3 linked regions of the Caenorhabditis elegans genome follow. The protein of the gene in region 1 interacts with the protein of each later gene in a pairwise test. Each region holds a gene or a part of one and is shown in the gene's direction. Other genes may lie near its edges.

Region 1 (6,975 bases):
ATTTGTTTTAATCATATTTTTTAGGGACCTCAACTAATTACGAAGGCTACTGATAGCAAATCGTGGAGAGTGAATGTTTAATTTATGAAATTTTTTCATTCAAATAAAGTTGTAACCGTGTTTTTCCACATTGTGTTAGCATATTATACACAATTTTTAAAGCTAAGATTGAATTTCATGCACTTTCTTTTTGACATAGACATTTTAAAAGATAATTTCTCATAATATTAATAATCAGTCATGCTTCCCCACAGGTGCAAATCATTTTGACCCCGTCAGTCTCTTGAGCGACTACGATATAGGCGCGCTCTTTCTATTTGCCACTACCGCGTTGATACACAATGTAGTCACACTTACTCACGTCGCAACGAGGAGGACCGATCGCGAATTGTTCTCTGTTCACTCGAATTAGTTATACGAGTTTCATCTCTTCCTTTCAATTCACTCTCCTCTTTCAATTGGGTTCATTGCTGAGTGTTTTGTGATTTTTCGATGAACACGCGTACCGCACGTGAAGTGTTGATCATGCGGAGAAATGTCAACTGTACGTTTCTTAAAAGATACTCTATTTTCACTAATGTGCACTGATCAGAAGCAGGAAAGTAGTAGAATCGACGTAGCAAGTCAAGGTGTATTCGGGGATCAACGAAACAACTGGACCAATATATGCTCTTTGATCACGTTGGGATCGAAATTGAAAGAGAATGAATTTTACATCCACCCTCATTTAATCTGTTGAGGGTGTGGATTAGTGTAAATTCCAAGCAATCAGATGACTGCCAAATAGGGGATAAGTTGGCTTAAAAATTAAGAAAAGCTTAGAAAACCACTTTCAAATAGATTAATATATTAACTTAATTGGTATAAAAATGCAATTTCTTTGCGCTCTAAAGTTTGGCGAAAAAACAAATCTTTGATTCATAGCCTTTAATAAATAAGTTTTCAGATTGCATTGAAACAATTAGAATCACATGGTTTAGACACAATTCAAAAATCCAGTCAAGATTGATTCATCCGCACTATAAAATAAAATATTTATAATCATTCACGAGCTTTGCCATAAAATATCTGTATCTAGAGTAGCAGTACTGAAATTGCAAATGGTGGCAAAACTAAGAGTATCCATATGTGTATTTGATTAACTTGTGGTACAATGCATAATTAGCAATGGTTTTGCTTGATTGTAGCGGTTAAATGCCGGTTTCACGAAACCTAAATGTGGTTAATCCAAGGTATATTCAAATATTAAACTTTTGTATTTTTTATTCCGTGTTTACCCGATTACATTCATTTTAGATTTGATTCATTCTCTCGATTCAAGAAAAAAAAACAAAGAAAAACAAGGATTTCTAAAAGAAAACCCAGCTCTATTTGAAATCTTTTTCCCAAATTCCTGGTAATGTACAGCACGGCGGTTTTATCTTTCCAGAGCTACTCCCTCGAAGAAATCTGAGTTGATCCAGAGAGATTAGTGGTTAACGTTTAGATAACACACTTGATCGAACAAGCCGCCACCACGCTGTTTTTCGGATTATTGATATATAGTTGTGATTTTCAACAGATTAGCAAAGGATTTTGTAAAGCTTATCGTCAGCGTGCTTTTTTCTTTTAATTTTTTGCACGAGCAAGACACCCACCCTCGCTTTGTGCAAATGACCCTAGTTCATTTGAACTATAATATTATTGAAATTTCCAATCAAAGTCCATATCACTAAATTCTGTAGATACTGTACAACATCCGAATTGTGAAATCTGATCGTTCTTGGCGCGAAATCATATTCACCCCCTACGTTAGCCCAAAGTACGATCACATTTCTATCGCAGTCGTCTAAAATCAAAATCAATTCAGGGTTCATTAAGTGAGCGTCGCATGACCTACGTGATAGAGCAATTAAACTGAAAAACCCAAACGTTCGATGTCTAAAAATATCATTCCAGAGAAATGAAATACATTTTCAGTAGACCTATGTGCTAGAAAATGTGGAAAAAATTATCATACCACCACCATGACTATTGACAGTGAAAAAAGAGATTTTAAAACTGCAAAAAAGTTTTAAAAATTTAGTTATTAAAGAATTGAATCTGACATTACTCCAAGTCTTACAGAGTTATGTAGCGTTATGTAGGGCGAAAATTTGAAATGATCTGTTGTTATAATTGTAGTGAAACATATATTTTGATGTTCTTCTTTCTTAGTATGATAATCTGCGATTTTTTGTAGGAACGAATTTATTTTTGGTTGAAAGTCAACGACTACAAGGAATTCGAATATATGTTGGCCGTTAATACATTTTTATTTTAGAGGAAGTTTGCCTTTTGACTCAAATTTTTTTCTGTAAAACAACAACACATGTTTAATTTGTTTACAACGTTTAGCTACAGTCCCCTAGGCCACACACTGCTGAAAGAAAAAAAAACAAAAGTAACTAACAAGTTTGGGGTCATAGTACACCAAGTTGTTTGTTTGCAAAGTTTTTTGCCTGAGTCTGTTCACTCCTAGAGGTGTACGGTACTGTTGACACCACCATACATCATTCGGAAGTAATTTGACCTACATTTTGAGCTCACTCAATGTTATCAGAGGTCTTTGTGCGTTGCACACATCACGATGCACGCACACTAAGTCAAGGCAGCCAAGGAAACAAAGTTTCGGGTATTTTTTGTCGTCAAGAAATGAACACGGCACGTGAAGGCGCATGTGAATGAGAGGATGCGTTGCACCCGACCGTCACCATCGAAATTAAAATTGAGCTACGCATTCTTTGAGTGTTTGCACTTTTTGACATCCCCGTGTTGCCATATTTGTGCTTCTCCCAATCAAATTGCTTCTTTGCTGACATCCTCAGAATTTCTTCCAAAACATTTGTTCCTTGTACCCTCTCAAGGAATGCTTCATCTTGATCCTTCCCACAAACGCATGCTACCCTTACGAGATCCCCGCAAGATTCACATGATTTCAGTGATCGGTTGACAAAATGGGGGAAGGCTATAACCTTCTGCTCCAAAACATGGGCGGAGCTACAGAGCTTATATCAAAGAGCGCCACTTCTCCGGGCACCCTAGCACCCACAGTGGCTGAGGTGCAAAGAACACACGCTGACCGCGTGTTGGAGGCGGCGCGTCGACTCCTCCCTTTCTGTCAGACAGAACGCCCCTTTTCCTATATCTTCCTTCTCGCATTGCAGATCATACCACAGTTAACGACACCCTCGAAGATGGTCGCATGGCTCTTTTACATATTTTTTGTTTAATTGTGTATTTGTTTTTGTTTGTGATAATTTTCACTTACAGTATTCTTATATAACCTTCTCTTAAAATTGATATTTCATTGCTATATATATTAAATTTACAGTCAACATCTCTACCATGTCCGCAATCGTTGAAGACATGTACTTGCTTTCTTCATCCATGAAAATGGAAAAACAATTCCGCAAACGCCATCACTCGGATTCTTCCGATGTAAGTTAAACTTCTGTTGTACCCTTATTTTACTAATTGTTCTTTTTCCAGGACGATTCTTCAAGCCCGAAGTCGGCTTCTCCATCCATGGATGATGACCGTCGTGCACATCACAACGAACTTGAACGCAGAAGACGTGACCATATCAAAGATCACTTCACCATTCTTAAGGATGCCATTCCACTGCTTGATGGGGAGAAATCGTCGCGAGCCCTGATCCTGAAACGAGCAGTTGAGTTCATCCATGTCATGCAAACTAAGCTCAGTAGTCAAGGAAAAGCCATTGAAGATCTCACAAGGAAAAACGAGCTTCTTGAGGAAAGGCGTAAGTTACATGGATATCTAGTGGATTCATGAGCTCAATTTCTAATTTTCAGTGCTCGAACGCGAGTCTTCCGGTTCTCCATCTTCCTCTCGGCTTCCAGCTCTTGCTGTTAGCTCAAGCCAAATGCAGCTCACCATGCCAATTATCCCACAGATGCAAAACATTGCACAGCTGTCTCAATACCCACAACAAGCAAAGTAAGTAAACAAATAAATTGTTCCGAATCTGATTTTAACAATTAAGTATTTTCAGTATAATTGCTCAATCCACAAACCCAGCTCAATTAGATGGGCTTATTGCTCTTAACAATGATGCCATCTTGGCTTTACTCGGAAGCTTTCAAAGCGTGAGCCCATCGCTTTTGGATTCTGCACCTGGTACTCCACCTTCTGGCTTTTATCCTTGTGCATTTTCTCCGGTTGATCAACAAATGGCAGTGAAAATCTAAAAACCTTCAAAAAGGCTTTTTTATTTCTTAGATACCCCCACCCTTCGAATTCTCTAATATTTTTTGATCTCATTTACTCGGTCGTCATGAACCCTTCTTCGGACATTCCAAACATCCATTCGGTTTCTCCGGACATACATGGGTTTCACGTGTACTTTAAGAATTGCCTGCTTGATCTGACAATATATTATTTCAGTTTTTTTTACTCACTGATTTGTTCCAGTTATGATATCTTATTTATTGATAATGCCGATAATAAATACTGATAATAAATATTTATATCAACATTTTTTCAACACCAGTAAAACACATTGCAAAAAATTAAAATTTATAAAGGCACCCAATAGAAAGTCTTTCAGCTACCGTAGTTCTTTGCTGCAAAGTAAACAGGTTGTTACTTTTCTTGTCAACTTTATTTAATGGTCAATATACGCGTCAGTAGTCGTATACTTTAAGGATTTTTACAGAAAAAATATTTATGTCTATTCCTCTGGACTTTTGCATGGGGAAAAGATTTGGATTTTAGTAGTGGTCATTTTTATAGAATTGAAATGATGAAAACAATGCTTTTTACCACTTACAAATTAGAGTAACTATTTTCCATTATACATAACAGAGATCTGCGACAAATTTGCCGAAATTGCCCAGCAAGAGAAATTTCCAAAAAGTGGGTTTGCCAAATCTGCCGAGATCGGTAAACTTTGAAATTTGCCACACACATCACAAATTCGACTAACATAATTTGACCGGAACCATTGATTTTGCTCCAAAACTTCTAGTTAAGTAACATGTAAGCAAGACTTGTACGCAGATAGACCACACGGATCTTGTGAAAAAATCAAAAGTATGCTTAGAATTCACCATTTTTGGTGCCCCATACAATATCAAAAATTATCACATTTTTTCGAGCTTTTCCGGCAAATTTGCCGAATTTGCCGAGTTTGGCATATACTAGAAAAAAGAGCTCGGCAAATTTTCATTTTTGCCGCACACCCCTGGTAGATCTAAAAAAATCTGAATACACATAGCACTACATTGAAAGCCAAAAATCTTTGGAATAGGTTTGCTGTTTTGAAATAGGTCGTTTATTGCACTTTGCTCCTGCAATTCTAAACAAGCATGCTCTAAAACATGATATCAACTCAAAAAGTACACGGTACAGTGCTCTAACGTTTTGTTGTAGTCAAATCATATTTCATCACGTATCCAAAAAAAACCGCTCTATTCCACTTTTCTTTCTTTATAATGTGTGTTCTCTGAGGCCATTTCGTAAAACAATATGCGAGGCATATCATCACACGTGTCATCAAATGACTTGATGATATGATTGGTTCAAAATATCAAATGCGAGAATCGCATCGTAAGCCAACGGAAAAATAGTTGTTTCAATTCAAAACACACTTGAGAGAACGAGGACAGTTCACTGAACAACTCAACATTGAACCTTCAAGGAGGAATATCGAAGATCGCTGGGAGTTTGTCAATGAAATATGACGAATATGTTGTGATACAGATTTATCAAGTTTTGCAGTTGTTCTTATTTTCAAGAAAAAAAGCCTTCTGAGAAATTATATAAAATTTACGTTTTATGAGGACCGAATTGTTCGGGGAGAATCAAAAACTTTAGCATCTTTCCCAGGGTGCGCGGCAATAAGACATTTTTGGCAGATGGACATTTTGTCAATTCCTAAAATTAACAGGGTTTGCTAAGAATTGACAATTGTTAAAAAAAAAAACGTCAAAAGTTGTTAACTGCATAAGTTTCACAGTTACTTCTACAATAAATGATTCAGTTACGCTTTTTATAATTCAAACAAAATTTATTTAATAACTGAAATTATCCGAACAAATACAATACATGCGAAACAAATACCACAAAATTTCCCTTCTTCGCCGAAGAGAACAAAGTTTTGGCACAATTTGGAAAAGATTAAGGTCTAGAAACCGTAGAATGTCGATAAAAAAGTGACAGGAATGGTTGAAAATGAGATGTGGTGACATTTAGCTTACAGATATTTTTTGGAATAAAAGTTTACAATGAAACACTAAGGAAGAAATTAATTAAGATTGAGGGGAACAAAACCAATGGGTACCCGTGAACATGTCGGGGAGCATGTTGAGCATGACTTGCACGAAGAATGCGATGACAATACCCAACAGACAAAACACGTTGTTGGTGAAAGCCACTGATTCGAAGATGTTTATATGGCAGAACATAGTCGGCACGAAGACCGCAATAGAGCATATGACACTCTGCAAAAATTACAATTTTTAGGACTTGAAAAATTATGAAGAGATTGGTGAACTTGTTGCTACTTTTCTGTTTTTTTACGTGTTAACAGTTTTCAATAAGTTCCATCAAATTTGTGTTTCAGTGATGTAACATTCACAGTGAAACATCACACTTTGGCTAACCAAGTCACTAAGTTCAGCAGACATGATTTATCAGTTCTGGTAATCGTAATTTTCACATGTCTAGTTCCTGGAATCGAATCCTGCATATAGAATCACTTGCTCAGCTGCTGATGTTGTAGCACATGTGCGAGCAATTTATGACTAGTTATTTTTGCAGATTTCAGCAAAGTTCATTTATTACGATGTGTCTCTACTATGTGTTATGTGCGGGGCTGACAGAAAGTTCGATTTTTCTTAAAAATAATTATAATAATTTAAACAATTTTTGTGGATTTAAACATTTTCAACAATTGTTTAAGAAATTTCTTATCATGATTGAGACTAATTT
Region 2 (6,724 bases), on another chromosome or scaffold:
TTGGCATTCTTCATGACTTGAAAAAAAGTAGATAGCAACAAAAACAACAAAAAAACAAAAATATGTCAATTTAACTCATATTTCCCTGTTTCCGTTTCTATTCGTTTATTTTTTCTTTCATATATTTATTTTTATTTTCCATTACCTTTCCGCCTCTGCTTCTTTTTTCCGGAAGCTTTCATATAAATAATACCTACACAATTCTCATTCCAACATCCTTGACTTTTTAGTGTTTCAAGCTTGGTTAGACTTGAACAAAACATACCTTCTAATGGCTCTTTCTGTTGCTCAATGAGCTCGATCAGGTACGTCAATAGGACCAAAAAAAGCACATTCATTACATTGTCTGCTCATGGGAAGTGGACTTTCTTGCTCATTTCTCATTGGAAGTTCATTGAGGTATAACTGCAGATACCAAATTATGTTCTTTTGAATGCTTTGGGAAAAATTTTAATTTCAAACCTACACTGGAAAATGTGAAAAAGTAACGCTTCAAGTGATTTTCCACAATTTTTCAAATCTCATACAAAAACACATACGAAATTAAAATTCAATCTTCTGAACTTTTTGTTTTCTTGTCCTTATTATTTTTTTCTTTTGCAAATCGATTTCCAGTCCCTCTTCTACTATTTTCACAGAATCAAACTAATATCTAGAAATTGAGTTTTAACTTGATTGATTATTCCGTCATGTTCTCGTTATATTGAAAAGTTTATTGGATTTCATTTAGTTTTCCTATTTTTTATAAATATTAGTTTTTGAACTGATTAGGTCAAAGATATAGATTTCGGTAATTCTACAATTTTGTCAGAGTGAATATTTCGAAGAGTATTTTCTGAATACGTGTCGTCATAGGTAACGAGATAGGTTGAAAACAAAAGTGTATGTGACGTAAAAAGTAGTGATATATATTGAAATCCCAAGGTGATTTCTGCACATATATTTTCTTGTTGCTCATTAGTGTAGCTCCTGTATTACTCTTCTTTAATCTTATTTATTTATTTATTTTTATATTTATTCATCAGGCAACAATCATAATGATGCAACTACAACAAAGCAGTGAAGTGAAGGAAAAAAGAATGAATAAATAGATATAAAATAATCATTAGGCACTTCATTAACTGCTCCGGTACCTTATGACTATGCTTTTATCAAAAATTATTTGGTGAAAAAGTATTTTAGTTCCTTGATGGTTCTGTAGCTGATAGTGAGTAATTTCCAGAATTTTCAAAATAAATATGGTCTGCCAGAGTGAAGTAATTTCTCTTTTTATCATACGATTCCGTTATACCGATTGTACCTTCTATCATATTTTTGTATAGACTACAATTTTATGTTAGTCATACACTTACTACCTTCGCCTGCCTACCGCCTATTTTCTGAGTTTTGGCGTCAGCTTCATGTAGTTTAGGCACGAGAAACGCGGGCAGGTAATCTGATGCCTACAATAATACTATGCACGAACTCTACTTAACACGGATATTTTGCTGTGTAAGCAGTTATCGGATTGAAACATAGCGGCAAGTTCAATAGACTCTTTTTTTCACCTGTAAATATTTTCCCAAATTTTTCCCTTGGAATACTGATTAGAAATTATTTTAAGATGTTTAAAAAGCCTTCAACACATATTCATAATATTTTGTTTCCGTTCGATACATCTTACCAATGCTCTGATGACATCAATGCTAACATTCAGATTTGTTCAAAAAGCTTGTTGCAAATCCCCTTTTTTCTTCTTTTCAACACAAATCCTATTCTGATAGCTGTAATCCTGTCATGTCCCTTTGATGATAAATCATGCGAAAAATGATGAAAAAAGTGTTAATCCGAATGTCAAATCTCCCCCACTATCACCAGCTTACCGGAAATTTTTTGAATTTCCGTTGAGAAGAGAAAAAGTAAGGAAATGTTGAAAATAAGCTGCAATTGGTACACTTCGCCAACGCATTGCAGCTAGTTATGCGTGTAATTTTAATATCATGTGATTCTATTTTTTATGTTTCTCATTTTTTGTTACATTGTCACTGTGTGACACCATTTGCTCTGAAATTTCTTTTCTTCTTTTTGTTGTAAAATTCTCTATCATTTTCAGTGATATATCAGAAATGTTACGATGGTTTCACGTAGAAGACGAGAAGACTTTCCTGTTTGGAATACAATTTCGAAATCGAAAACTGGTCACATTCTTTGCTCTGGTTCAATTAGTAGTGGCTTCTGTATCATTTGCTCAACACATTTACTCAGTTGCTCTTTTTAATAAGGTTGGTTGGAACAGTAGATGGAAGATGAATGACTTCACACGTTACCTATAAATCTTTTGGGGATTTTTTAAATCAGATTTTAAAAAAGAAAGAAAAACAAAAAACACTTTAAAATAAGTTTCCGAAGAATCTAAAATCATTCTATGACTCTAAACAAGCTTAGCAAACTAAAGAGCTTCTGTACCTACCCCATACATTCCAGCCCTGATCTCCTGCTTTTTTGTTTTACCGGGTAGACATATTAATTTCAAAATACATTTGTACATTTGTTTCCTAGAACGAAAATCTTGAAAAACATTCCGACTTGATCGTTTACATTAATTCAGATATTCTATTGCTCATTCAACGAAACTCGTTCCAATACCGGTCATTTTCTATCTCATGACGTGATTATTTTCGACTTTGGTCTTTTCCACGAATTAATTAATGTAAGCTGAACATTTCGTTCATTTTTTGTTGGATGGTTCTCCAAACAAGTATTTTCAGGTCCAAGAATGTATAGCAAACTATTTAGACGGTGGCTATATGCGGTGTCTATGGTGTTTCACTCAAATGATTGCATTGACCTTAACAATATGTAAGTGCTCCAAGGGGAAGAGTAACATAGAGTGTCAATGAACTTGCCTACTTTCTTACCTACTGGGCGACCTAGGCTTGCCTCGTGCCTACTTCCAAAGTTCCCGATATAGATTCTTTCAATTAGTCGTTGCCCGGCACTGCTAAGAAACGGTCCTATTCCTATGCCATAGTTTATCGATCACAGCCTTTCCAAAATTTTTAACTGAACCTTCACGTTTACAGGGACAACACTATGTATACCAAAACCACATCCTTTACTGTTATGGCCGATGTTAATAATTCAAAATGCGTATTGTTTTGGATTAGTAATTTTAACAATAGCAACGGCAGATAAGGTAAGGTTTCCAGTTTATGTCTTCTAGCAGGGCATTAAAACTGGAAGAAAGTCGTCGTTTTTTTCATGATCAAAATTGTTTAAAAGTCTCGTTAGACTCTTTGATCTATTAGATAAATATCAGAACTACCTTTAGGTGGAAAGTTCAAATTCTGGAGTCTGAGCAATCTTAAAATATTTCAGCTCCTGGTTGCCCTGTTCCATCCTGTTAATGCTCACCTGAACCTGATGATTTTATATTTTGCCGTTGGAACATCAATCAATCATTTCTTTGACTACATCCTCTGGCACTACTATTGGTATGAAGAATTTCAATATATTGGTAGAACAGGAAAACATGTGATTCCCTTTTGGGTGTAGATTTTATTTCAACTTTTTGTTTTGTTTCAAACTCAATTGTCAACGAAAAGCCCCCTTCATTTTCATAATCTCTGGGACAAAAAATATTTGTATAAAAACGGTTACTGTGTTCCACCTCTGCTTCATCTGAACTATGTTCTCTGCATCGAATAAAAATTTGTTTAGTTGTTATATCATATTTTTATACTTGTATAAAACTTTTGTTAGTGTGAGAAAATAAACATGCCAAAGTACGTAAAACTGTTAGAATTCACTAATATTCCCAAATTCGAAGAGCATTTTAGATGATTATAAAAATCTCATTATGACAACGAACAAATTTAGTCTTGCTGTAGGTATGAAGCAGGCGTAGGCCCTCTTGAAAACATTTACGCAATTTAATTTTAAAAAAACCTTAGCACTTCATTCATATACAAAATTGTTTTGGAAAATTTATTTATCCATTCAATTCTCAATTTCCAAGTAATCACGCAACACTTGAGGCACGTTGATATGATTCCTTTTCTCCGAGTAAAAGCCATGCTGTGTTCCGCCCGAAAACAAATACATAAAAGGTTTATATTGTAGACGTTGGCTGAAACATGTCCTGATTTCACCTGCTTTCCTAGAGAAATGTTAACATCTCCACCTATTGCACAATGAGCCCATCTTCACCTACATTATCTGATAATAGGTAAAGAAGGACCACCTTGCACCTCTGTCATCATGATGATTTTTAGAGCATTATCATCATTTCTAGTGGGTGTGGTCTACAGTAAAAGAGCCCAAAGAATATCAGTTTGAGTCAGTATTCATACTTTATTCCTTCTCTCTATCACTATGGCTTATCCGTACCCAGTTTTCAATGCTGAAAATGTCTTTGACAATACCCAGCAACAAGTTGGATTCTATGATTATTCAACTCCATTCAATGGTACATACTCCTTCACTACTGACTATTCTTATTATAATAACTACTATGACTATGTCAATACTTATGCTTCTTATTATCCAACTGCAATGGATTCTTCATCTTTAAATATTTCACCAACTACTGGAAGTCCTAATTCTTCCCATTTCACCACGTTTACTCATTTTTCTACTCCATCTACATCTCCATCTACCTCTACTCAAAGTTCAACTCCACCGAGCAATTCTGATAATAAGAAGTCATTTCAATGCTCAAATTGTTCAGTAACTGAAACAATTCGTTGGAGGAATATTCGATCAAAGGAAGGAATTCAATGTAATGCTTGTTTTATTTATCAACGGAAATATAATGAGACTCGTCCAGTCACTGCCGTTAACAAATATCAAAAAAGAAAATTAAAGGTACAGGAAACGAATGGTGTAGATTCTTCTTAATGTAAATTGTATCATTGTAAATTGTATAACTCAATTGTAATTTTCTTGTTTTAAGCCGGTAAATTGTTTTTAATTAATATGATCTCATAACTTATATTTATATCTTGTTCTCGATTTTAATTACATCATAACTTTAATTGCATGGATTGGATGCCGTTGTGTATAAAATAACACTTCAAAAAATAATCATTCATATTGCAATTTTACAATAGAAACGCAAAAGAAAATATTTTAAAACGGAAAATGGTTAATGTGGTGGTGTTGTGATGGAGCATCCAAGAATCGCCTCTATTAACCACTGCTCGCTGACAAGATTGTACTTTGTGCAGTCGCGGAATTTGTCTCCTATCTGTAAAGAGAAATAAAAATGTCACCAAACTGAAACTACCGAATCCATAATAACAGGAAAACTCCTTCGTTAAACTTACATCATGTGTCAAGCTGTAGAGCACAAAGTTTGGTTTCAAGTTGGCATTATGGTACGGCGGTGGATCTTTTTCGTCAATAATGGGCTCCCTCGCTGCAGCTTGACCACCGGCAGATCGAATAATTTCAAAAAGAGCTGGGCGATCTGAAATTGAAAATTGAAAAAATTAAAATACTGTAAATTAGAATCGTACCGAGGAAGTTATACTTTGGCTTTGGAATGAAAAATTTGCAACCGGCGAACAATTTTGGTTGCTGAAAAATTTGGTTGTATTTTTTTCTTTAGTGGAAATCAAATCCGTACCATTTTAGTGATTGTCTTCTTCCATTGTTCAATAGTATTTTCAAATACTTCACCTTCCATCCATCTAACTTTCTGAACCATATAAGAACGATCATCATCGACTTTCGATGGATCAATAATGCACGCTCTCAGCCAATCTCGACTAACTATCATTCCCGATCTGAAAGTATGAATTTCCGCTTTGAAATTTCATATTTTCACATAGATTTTTTTGGCTCTCATACTGCACCCTTGCGATTGTTTGCAATTTTCCCATGGGATCAGTCTATAACTAGACAGGGAAACGCATTTTATAATACAATCGAGCCACTGTGAAACTGAAATGAAGGTGTTTCTGGTGAGTTATATACTACTTTTGCTAATATTCAAAACTAATTTTGCAGTGTTTCCTTCTTCTTCTTCTTTCAATTTATGTTAATGCAAAGAAAGCAGAATGTCGAACTGATTCGGATTGCTCGGATAATAGGCTTTGTGTTTATGGACAATGTCTTTTTTCAAATCATGCAAGTGGTGGAGTTGTTATCACTGACGAAAATGCTGATGAACCTTGTACTTTTGACTGTCCAGTTGGAAAAAAATGTGTGGCAGGAGCCTGTGTTCGTGCCTAATTATCTTTTTATCTCCAATAAATATGTAATGCATTGCGACCTGATTTGAAGGAATGATAGAAAATAGACCATAATTACCGAATATAACTGTTAAAAAATTATTTCAGCTTTGGAAAAATAATAAGTTCTGATTAGTTTTGAACTCTCGTGCAAATGAATGGCTAAATTCGAACGCTTTTCGTGATTTTTGCTTGATGTTCCGAAGATTGTCAGATTTTCATAAATTTTTTAAGCAAAAAAAAAGATGAATAAATGTGAAATTATCGACTTTCAATTCAATTTTGAAGTTTCAGCGAATTTCTTTCTGATTATCATGCGTTTTCTTACGAACAAATGCCTTCCATTTATTTGCGCGAGAATTTAAAAATAAGTAGCCCATTTTTTGAAAAATTTCGAAAAAATTAATTTCTTAACAGCTATAGTCTGTCATTACGGTCTATTTTCTGACATTAAAAATCCCAAAATGACTATCTCCCACTTTTTAGGATAATTTTAAAAACCTACTTTA
Region 3 (8,851 bases), 8.6 Mb from region 1:
TAATTTATTTTAAAAGGACTTTCTGTAATAACTAATCGTAAGATAAATTTTGGCACAAAAACTTTTAAAAAAATTTCTCGAAGCCTACGAAGATTTTAAAATTTTACCAAACCCCATTTCAAACTATTTTTCATAAATTTATCAATTTTTATCAACAAAAAATAAATTAAATTTTTTATCAAAATCAATATTATCAATTTGTACCACTCTTGGGTTCCAAATTCAGTTTTGAAGATTTCTGCAAAATTTGAACTAACTTTTTTATTCTACATTTTATTGAAAGAAATGGTTTTGGTCGCAAGATGGTTCATTGTGTACAAAGAATACAAAAATTCTAATGTACTCGAATTATGAGCACAGGTTATGAATCAGATCTATAATAAAATTCAAAACACTTCAGTACATTCTACAAATAATCTGAAGGTATGCTACAAATCATTTATGACAGAATAAATCCTAATTGTCGTGTCCAGTTTCAGAGATTGTCGTGATATTTTACGTAACCATATCTTATAATTGCCCCCCAATGTCAGTTTAATCCGTACAGTATGTTATTGTACCTTTCACACTCGTTCCGGTTGCCAGGGATTAGCACTCTAGGTAACGAGAAAACGGTGACTGTCAACTATGTGACTCTATCCCCTTTAACCTACCAGTGCTCATCAACGAAAATGTGGGATGTTTGAAGAGAAGAATATATACGTCTTTCTTAGTCCATTATTGTTAACCATATTGCTAATTTGACGTTTATCCAGTATGCGCATGCAGACACCATCCACACACATCTCATTCCAATAACACGACCCTTTTAAGTAATTGAGCTGCAAAGATGACGCTTTTCAAACTGTTGACTTGTAAAGTCACAATGAATTAATATAAGCATGTTAGTCCAAACCGACTACAACTGCACAATATGAGACATATACCAGGAAACAAAAGGAGAACAGTTTTTAAAACTGAACATGCCCATACATATTTTATTATTATTATTAAATTTAAAAAAAATCAGAAAATGATTTGAGTAAACTTAAAATCCATGTTTCAATATTTTTCGCTCATATCACATACCACACTTACACAGACCCCTAATTAATTAGTATATGCTTCATTGTTTCCATATAAAATACATCGAAAGGCGAAACCGACCACAGCTGTATCTCAGACCACATTACCACGTGCTTTGTTTTTTTTACTTAGAGATTGTATCTCGAAACCTTTAGCAGCACAACACTCGTTGACACCTCCCGTCGGTGAATAATTTACACACCGAGTGATCGGTGTTCTTTGATTTTTATTAACACGTTTGAGTTCACATTTGACTTGTGCCAAAGGCCGTCTTGCAGAAAATGTACTCTCTGAAAAAAAAGTTTTAAAATAGAATTGAGACGTCTTCAAATAAGTTTGATTCCTGCTGGTATAGACAGCTACTGGCCGTATTCTCTATTACTATTGCACTCGAAATTAGTCCAACAAAAACGTTTTGCATGCAATACTAATAGAAAAAAACATAGTTTTTTGTTTAAATTGTATAAATTCTTAATCTTAGAAGAAAAACATATGTTCAAAATGGAATACAATTATCAAATTTCAGTACGAGACGTTTCATAAAAAGTTGCATAAATCATTAAATGGCTCAACCAATTTTTTATAATTTTCCTAGTGTTTCAGCGGTTTTTTTCAGATTCTATTTAATTTATAATTAACTTTGCTTTTTTTCTGTGTTTTAGGTAACCAAAAGTGACTAAATTCCCTATTTTGGTTAGCTGTTGGCATTCAATACAAAAAAACGTGAGCAGTTTTTCGAAAAGGCTCGTTTTGAAATTTGGACTTTTTGGGTTATTTTAAGTAGAACTACGCAAAGATCCAAAACGTTTCCTAATTTTCAAGGTTTTAAGATTGTACATTAGAAGTATTTTTATTCGATAATTCACTAGCTAAGACTCCTTCACACTATTTGAAATTATTGCAGATTTTTGAATCGCATCATCGGTTCTTTCTCTTTGATTCACTTTTAAACTCATAAATTCCACGCTTCCTTTAGACTTGTGTGTTGCGAACCAAACCATTATTGATTTACGGCTGTCGGGAAGAGCACAACATTTTCCCATCAGAAGCAAGTTTGAATTTCCTCCTCCGGGTCATTCGCACCTTACAATTTAGCAGGTGTCTATTGCAAACCGGATGTAAAGAAATGTTTCCCAAAACGGTTGTTTTTGCGCAATCTGGCCCCAACATTACCAACAGGTCACTTATTCCATTATTCTGTATCGTATGACTATAGCGATAGGTACTAAAACAAGGCAGATTGCGCTAATGGACAAATTTGTTAGACAAACACTTCCGGTGTCGTTTTCCTTAGATGTGAGCAACAGACACCAACATTTCACACCTTCTACAGTGTTGCACATTGGCTTGAGAACGTTGTGAGTCGTCGTATTAAATCCATTTTGTGATGTTTTACATAACAAAACCTCTAAGAGAATAATGGGAAATAATGTGGAAAATATCAATTCCATTTTCTCATTCTCATCCTCATCTTTCATTTCATTTCTGCTCATTTTCAGCTCATTTCTATGAACGCCACTACTATCAGCCATTACGTGTGTGCATGTTTTTCCTCGACCATATTATTCTGTACAAATACGTCGTCGCCTTATTTTACTATTACCGGTTTTAATGAGATTGTGTTGAATTATTTTCTCCCCCCTCCCTATTTGAAACCAAACGAGCGCGCACACAAACACATGAGAGCGGGCGGGTAAGCGTCTTGGGTCCCAATTACCGTATATCATGGAAGTGGGTGGAGCTGTGGACGTTCATTCAATACGGCTGTGCTCACCTCAACTCGTTTTATTTTGCGTTTGATCAAAACTAAAACTTGATTTTTTTTTCAAATGTTCGTCATTGGACTCTCAAGGGTTAATCAGGAAAAAAAACACATTTCGTGATTACTTGTTTGCTTCGAACTTTTTTTCAAGCTTCATAAGACTTCATGTGATAGTTTCCGATTCACTTCCATCGACTCTTGATTCATCTCTTTTCCCTCAGTTTTGCATGGGTTCTCTAAGGTATCAGAAATCTCGTCTAAAATTTTCATTTGTAAATTAAACCCCCATTCTGAAAATTAACAGTAATACGAGTGTTCTTTTTTCAGCCAAAAATGATTTTTTTGGAAAGTATGGAAAAAAGTAGTTTAAAAGATGTCATCACAATATTGGCAGTACTCTTTTCAACTTCCTGTACATCAAAATATCAAACCATTTACCGTATTTTCCCTATTAGGATTTCAACCCAGTTTCCATCTTTACCAGCTTAACACGAACAAAGTACTTGTCAATTTTTTTTAGCGGTTTGTAGTTTCTTATCTTTGATACTGAACACAGATATAACGTTTCAAATAGTGTGGTACAGTACTATTCAAGGAGTTACGGTATTCGAACACATTTCAAGTGAACAATGATCCTGAGTGTTTTGCTCATCGAGCCTATATTAGATATCTCTCCTGTTTCCATCATTCCTCATTATTACCTTTTGCACTCCGAATTCGACACTAACCGCGGATAAGCTGCTGCTTGACCCGTGCGTTCGCATAGCAACAACGATCCACTAACATCTCGAATTTCATATTTAAATTAATAATGTTTTGCTTAAAGCATAACTGATTAGCTTTTTGGCATTCTCGTTGGAATATACATTGAACCTACATTACAAAATCAATTGATCATCAATTTTGAAACAATTGATAGAGTCGCTCAGCGGAAAAAAAACGGTTAATTGTTGTGATTAATGGTGTTAACCAAACATAGTAATCCACTTAAACGAATTAGACATTAAGTTGGACAGGGCGTATTGCCTAGAAACATCTCTGTTTTGCTTGATCACTTAACACATTAGCGGAAAAGCAAGCAGGGAGTTCTTCGAGATCCTCAGATTCTGCTAAACTTCTCTCAACTGTATTCATAGTCGTTTTCCTATTGGTCAACCATTGTTTATATAGTTTTGATATCCGTTTTCTTAACACTACCAAAGACAATAATTTGACTTGGTCATCATTTCATTATTACTCCTCTCCTTCCCATTTCCTACACCCCATTTATCCGCGAACGCTCGCCCAGCTACCGTAGTCTTGAATGGTGGGGCGGGGCTACTCATTAGTATTCTCGATTAGCCCTCAGTTGACTCTATTTTTCTCAAACATGCCGACTTCAGTTATGAATCTCCCTATTGATATGACGACAATGAGCTCGCAAGAACGTCTCGAAAAAATGTCACAACTTCCAAAGATTGAACTGATGGAGGAAGAAGAGGAAGAAGAGATGAAGCCAAGTTCAGATAATAAGATTAAATTCAATATTTCTGAGTTGCTGGAAGATGACAGAAAACCGTAAGTTGAACATTTTCATTTATTTTCCTTTTATTTGTATAAAATTAAACTTTCAGAACTACACAAAGTTCCCCGTCGGCATCTTCAGAGGATAGCACCAATGAAATTGAGCAAACGGCGTTTAATTTCAATTTTGATCCAAAAATGAATCCGATTTCTGCCCTCCTGCAACTTCAGCAAACTTTCTTGAACGTCGGCAATCAACAAAACATGATCTCACCACTTACCATGTTCCCATTCTTTGGACTTCCGACTGCTCAACTAATGCACTTCAAAAACATGAGCAACCCAGGTCAGTAGATATTACCCAACTTCCTCTCTCCTTAGTCTGTCATTAGTTAATGTGTGAAAGAATCCTACCATATTTCATTTCATTCAAAACAGTGTTCCGTTTACCACTATAATTTTCGGTCGGTTCTCTTTATTCTCCGAATCTCAGAACACCCCTTAATACAGTAACTAATTCATTTTCTGACCCATTGTTATTGTATGGTCTCGAATTAGCCAAGTCTGGACTCATTAACAAGTTGAACAACGGTATTGGATGAACATATGGAAAAAGGAGGGGGGAGGTTGTCGGCGGATGCAGTTCCTTTCTTAGGATAAGAATCAGAATCGCTCGCCTGTGTTGAACTCAACTAATTATCTTTTGTTGGGTAACACCACACGCGGTATTCATTGATTCTTGAAAGGATGTGCTCAAACAGCAATAAGTTAATAACGTGAGAATACTAAACCCCATGAGCTCGGTGACGCGTGTCAGGTCCTTGACTTTTATTTTGATTCTAAAAATAAATACATTCAATTAAAAATTATAGAGAAACAACTTTTTTTTTCAGATTCAAAGTTTTTAATAATGAAATGTGGCCTGTAGGGAATTACCAAATGTCATACTAAAACATTTCAAAAATGTTTTAAATAAAATTTATTTTTAGTCAAAGAACATTGAAAACTCATAGTCCGCTTTTACCTAATTTTTGGCTCAAAATTTTTTTAAAAACAGTTTTATTTTGATATTAAGCCATTTTAACATTACAAAAATGCTGATTAATTATTTCCCCTCACAGGTCCAACTTTAAGCCATTAAGTTTTCCGCTCAGTTGATTTGGCAAAGCAAATCAGCGTATTGTAAAATAACATCATCACGCTGTTTTATTACGCTGACTCTGTTGATACATGTGGTTTTGCCACTGATTTGTTTTTGATAACATGTGAAATGATCAAAACAGCAATAGAAATCTCTTATTCTAATGAGCCTTTTCCATTTCGCATGAAAAATCAGGCATACGCATGAGCGCACATTTTTAGTCGTCAATATTCGTAACGTAAGCGGCTACACTTCGGTTTTTAAGAGATTCTAATTAGTCAACGAAGAATCAGTATTGAAAACTAAAGGTAGTTCTTAATATAGAGACATCTATTTATAAAGGTGTCATTTTGACCGACACCCGTGTCCTAGTAATCCCCCGTCCATTGAGATAATTAACCGATGGACCACGGGGGGATGTGTTATAATTGTGGCCTGTCAATGGAAGTATCTTAATGCAATATGGTTAATATGCCTGTCAGGAATTAAGTAATTGTTGAAAATGTGTTTCCTTACAGATGTTAATATTCAATCAGACAATGGAGAAGAGAAGGATGAAAAATCGGAGGGAAAAGATGGGGAGACCAGGGATTCCACTGGTGGCAGCCCGCTGGAGTCTGACGCAGAAGATGACGATGATAGTGAGTTGAATTTAAAAATGTGTCCACAAAAGTGTCCATAAACTGTATTTCAGTTGGCCGTGGAAGCGATGATGAAGCCAACTCTAGCGATCCATCACAAAATAGAAAGAAGAAAACCAGAACCGTCTTCAGCAGGAGTCAGGTATCAGAAATTGTACATTCCGAACTCAAATAATACTTTCATTCAGGTGTCCCAATTGGAAATGATGTTCGAATGCAAAAGATATTTGAGCAGTCAAGAGAGATCAAATTTAGCACAGAAGCTGCACTTGACGGAGACCCAAGTGAAAATTTGGTTCCAAAATCGACGAAACAAGTTCAAGAGACAAGCTCAGACTGATGACACGAACATTTCCCTGCAGATGCATAGAGCTAATGTGTTTTCGATTCCAGCAACCACAGCTCTTACATCTCCGTGAGTTTACTGTTTCATGAAATTAATTCTAAATTTTATATTTCAGAATCCTTACGATCCCAACGACCAGTGCTGGTGTGAACATGAGAAATATGATTTCATCTCCAATGGATGCTTCTGCAACTGCCGCCGCGCGGTTTCTTTTCGGTTTTGGTACACTTCAGGCACAGCAAAACTTGAATGCGTCGGCTCAAGCGCAGAACATGTGAACACCTTATTACTAATTTAGACTCACCCCCTGTGCAATTCAACTCAACCTCAACACATTTTTCATCTCATCACTGACTCTATCTCTTCACACTTGATTTTTGATTCATCGCCCTTCGTATATATTTTATTTTTCATACCCTATATGTTTATTATGTGTCATTCTGTGTATTTTATAAACTATCTTCGAGCACATGATAATTCAGTTCATCAATCCTTTCTCTTTCACTAAATAATTATTTATTGAGTAATAAATTTACATTATGAATACATACAATACAAAAATGATAGAAACTTTTTGATGTGTAAAAGACCATTTTCCAACAGATTATGATGGTAGCAAAGCTACTCTTTTCACATACATACATATACTAATATTTAAGATGAAATTTCAAAACAAATGTTCAAATTCCATCAACTGCAGAAATATCAGAAAACTTTTATTCTGCTTGAAGAACGAAAACTTACAAAATTTCCAAAAATTTGAATTGTATTACTTGGATATAAAATAATAGTTTGTCTCCTTTGTATGTAGTATCTGTTTTTTTAAAGAGTTTTTGTTGTGTTTTGAAAGGTTAATGGTTAAAATTAGTAGAATGAATTAGGGTAGTGTAGTGTAGGTGTTCAGTAGGCAACTTTGAAAAAAGTAAGTTGTTATGCTTTGAAATAATATTGGAGAGTCAAAAGTATTAGAAATCTCTGTCTTAAACAGTACAAAAACGCTCGAGAAATTTTTGAAGAACTGTTTTGAAGAACTCCAAAAAAAATTTCTAGAAATTTCAAAAATTACGAAAAAAATTCCTTCGACACTTGCTGATTTCTGAAATTTTGTTGCAACGCTTTTTATTCGGATTGATAATTTTAAAGCGCATCTTGTAAGTTGGAATTCTAAGTTCTTTAGTCGTAGTCATTGTACTTCACAATACACACATACATGTTCAGTACTTTTATCTACAGCTGCTTTTTTACAGATCGTTTCATCCTCTATCTCATCTTTGATAGGGCCGACCAACTTTCCGCTTTCAAAAAAGTACTTTTTATCATGACATCATGTTAAAACTATTTCATTGCACAGATAGAAGAGTTTGAGGTCATTCGTGTTCTAATGATTCATGGGAACCGCGACCTTTGTCGTGCCGACAGAAATTTGAATTTCTCTCCTGACTCTGTTGGCGTGCAAGAAATATCTTTTTTGATCAGTGATCAAAGTAAGAAAAAAGTAAAATCAGAAGTGTTTGAAGACAAAGCAAACAGACATTTCGAGGTAACAAAAAGCTAAATGTATAAACGGGTAGAAGAAAAATTGAAACATCAAATAGTTGGAACTAGGTAAAAATTTTATAAAAAACTTTTGTCCTCACTAGTGACAGCGAAAATGTGAACGTTCCTATTTTGTTACATGTTCAATAGAAAGACACAATTAAAACTTGGCAGTTATTTTATCACTCCAGTTTTATCTTCCTAACAAATTTTTCATTAAACGCTTATGATCAAAACGTGATGTGTTATAGAAACAAATCTAAAAATTAAAAAAAAAACTACAAAGAATCTCAAAGTAACTACATGATTAACTACATGGCAAGCAACTGAAACACTGATGAAAACACTCGTGAAGGTGAAAATTTTGACTGTTTGGTATAATTTCATGTGATAAATTTTTGTGATAAGGCTTCGGAACTTCCGTGCACTTTTTTCCTTTGATTTTGGCGGTTTAAGATTTCCGTTTTTTTTAAGTTCACCACTCCATCGTTTCGACAAATTTGAAGCGTGCGATGGCAAACAACCGCCACAAATTTCCTTTGGCGCACCACCATATTCACAGGTGTTGTTTTGAATTGGGTGTGTGTGTGTTCCTAACTCTTCAATATAAAACTTTCCATTCAAATACGATTTCACAGAAACCAATGAAAAGAGTATCTAGATGTATTCTTCTCATTGTGATTGCTGTGATATCGTCCATTGGACGGGGTCATCGTGCTCGAATATCAGATAATACTTTTGACAAGAGTCGCCACTTTTCCAAGAAGAGAATAGGCTCTAGTCACCACATTTGTGCATGATGGGTAATTAGAAACTTTTCTCTACTTGGAAAATAGCTGGTAATTTGTAGACAACTA

The links.
Region 2: the proteins of mxl-3 (region 1) and med-2 interact in a two-hybrid assay, tested with the Caenorhabditis elegans proteins (one large-scale study listed by BioGRID).
Region 3: the proteins of mxl-3 (region 1) and mls-2 interact in a two-hybrid assay, tested with the Caenorhabditis elegans proteins (one large-scale study listed by BioGRID).

Annotation. Positions count from the first base shown.
Region 1 is NC_003284.9:13,347,182-13,354,156, reverse strand, and holds mxl-3 (Protein mxl-3), read left to right. Parts: upstream 1-3,352; 5' UTR 3,353-3,366; coding exon 3,367-3,459; intron 3,460-3,510; coding exon 3,511-3,784; intron 3,785-3,836; coding exon 3,837-3,981; intron 3,982-4,036; coding exon 4,037-4,232; 3' UTR 4,233-4,518; downstream 4,519-6,975. Other genes in the region: ptr-24 (SSD domain-containing protein), read right to left, coding at 6,294-6,485. UniProt on the Caenorhabditis elegans protein: Transcription factor which regulates the expression of genes involved in lipid metabolism in response to nutrient availability. Binds to the E-box motif 5'-CACGTG-3'.
Region 2 is NC_003281.10:6,880,150-6,886,873, forward strand, and holds med-2 (GATA-type domain-containing protein), read left to right. Parts: upstream 1-4,353; coding exon 4,354-4,878; downstream 4,879-6,724. Other genes in the region: K04C2.7 (Polyprenol reductase), read left to right, coding at 2,106-2,261, 2,588-2,689, 2,748-2,838, 3,063-3,175, 3,358-3,534; brd-1 (BRCA1-associated RING domain protein 1), read right to left, coding at 5,126-5,227, 5,307-5,449, 5,499-5,559, 5,609-5,768, 6,721-6,724.
Region 3 is NC_003284.9:4,756,958-4,765,808, reverse strand, and holds mls-2 (Homeobox protein mls-2), read left to right. Parts: upstream 1-4,168; 5' UTR 4,169-4,196; coding exon 4,197-4,384; intron 4,385-4,440; coding exon 4,441-4,676; intron 4,677-4,914; exon of another isoform or gene 4,915-5,113; intron 5,114-5,989; coding exon 5,990-6,112; intron 6,113-6,165; coding exon 6,166-6,254; intron 6,255-6,300; coding exon 6,301-6,527; intron 6,528-6,573; coding exon 6,574-6,736; 3' UTR 6,737-7,005; downstream 7,006-8,851. UniProt on the Caenorhabditis elegans protein: Transcription factor that binds to the promoter of target genes. Regulates fate specification and/or differentiation of multiple cell types arising from the embryonic mesodermal (M) lineage and the ABp(l/r)paa precursors.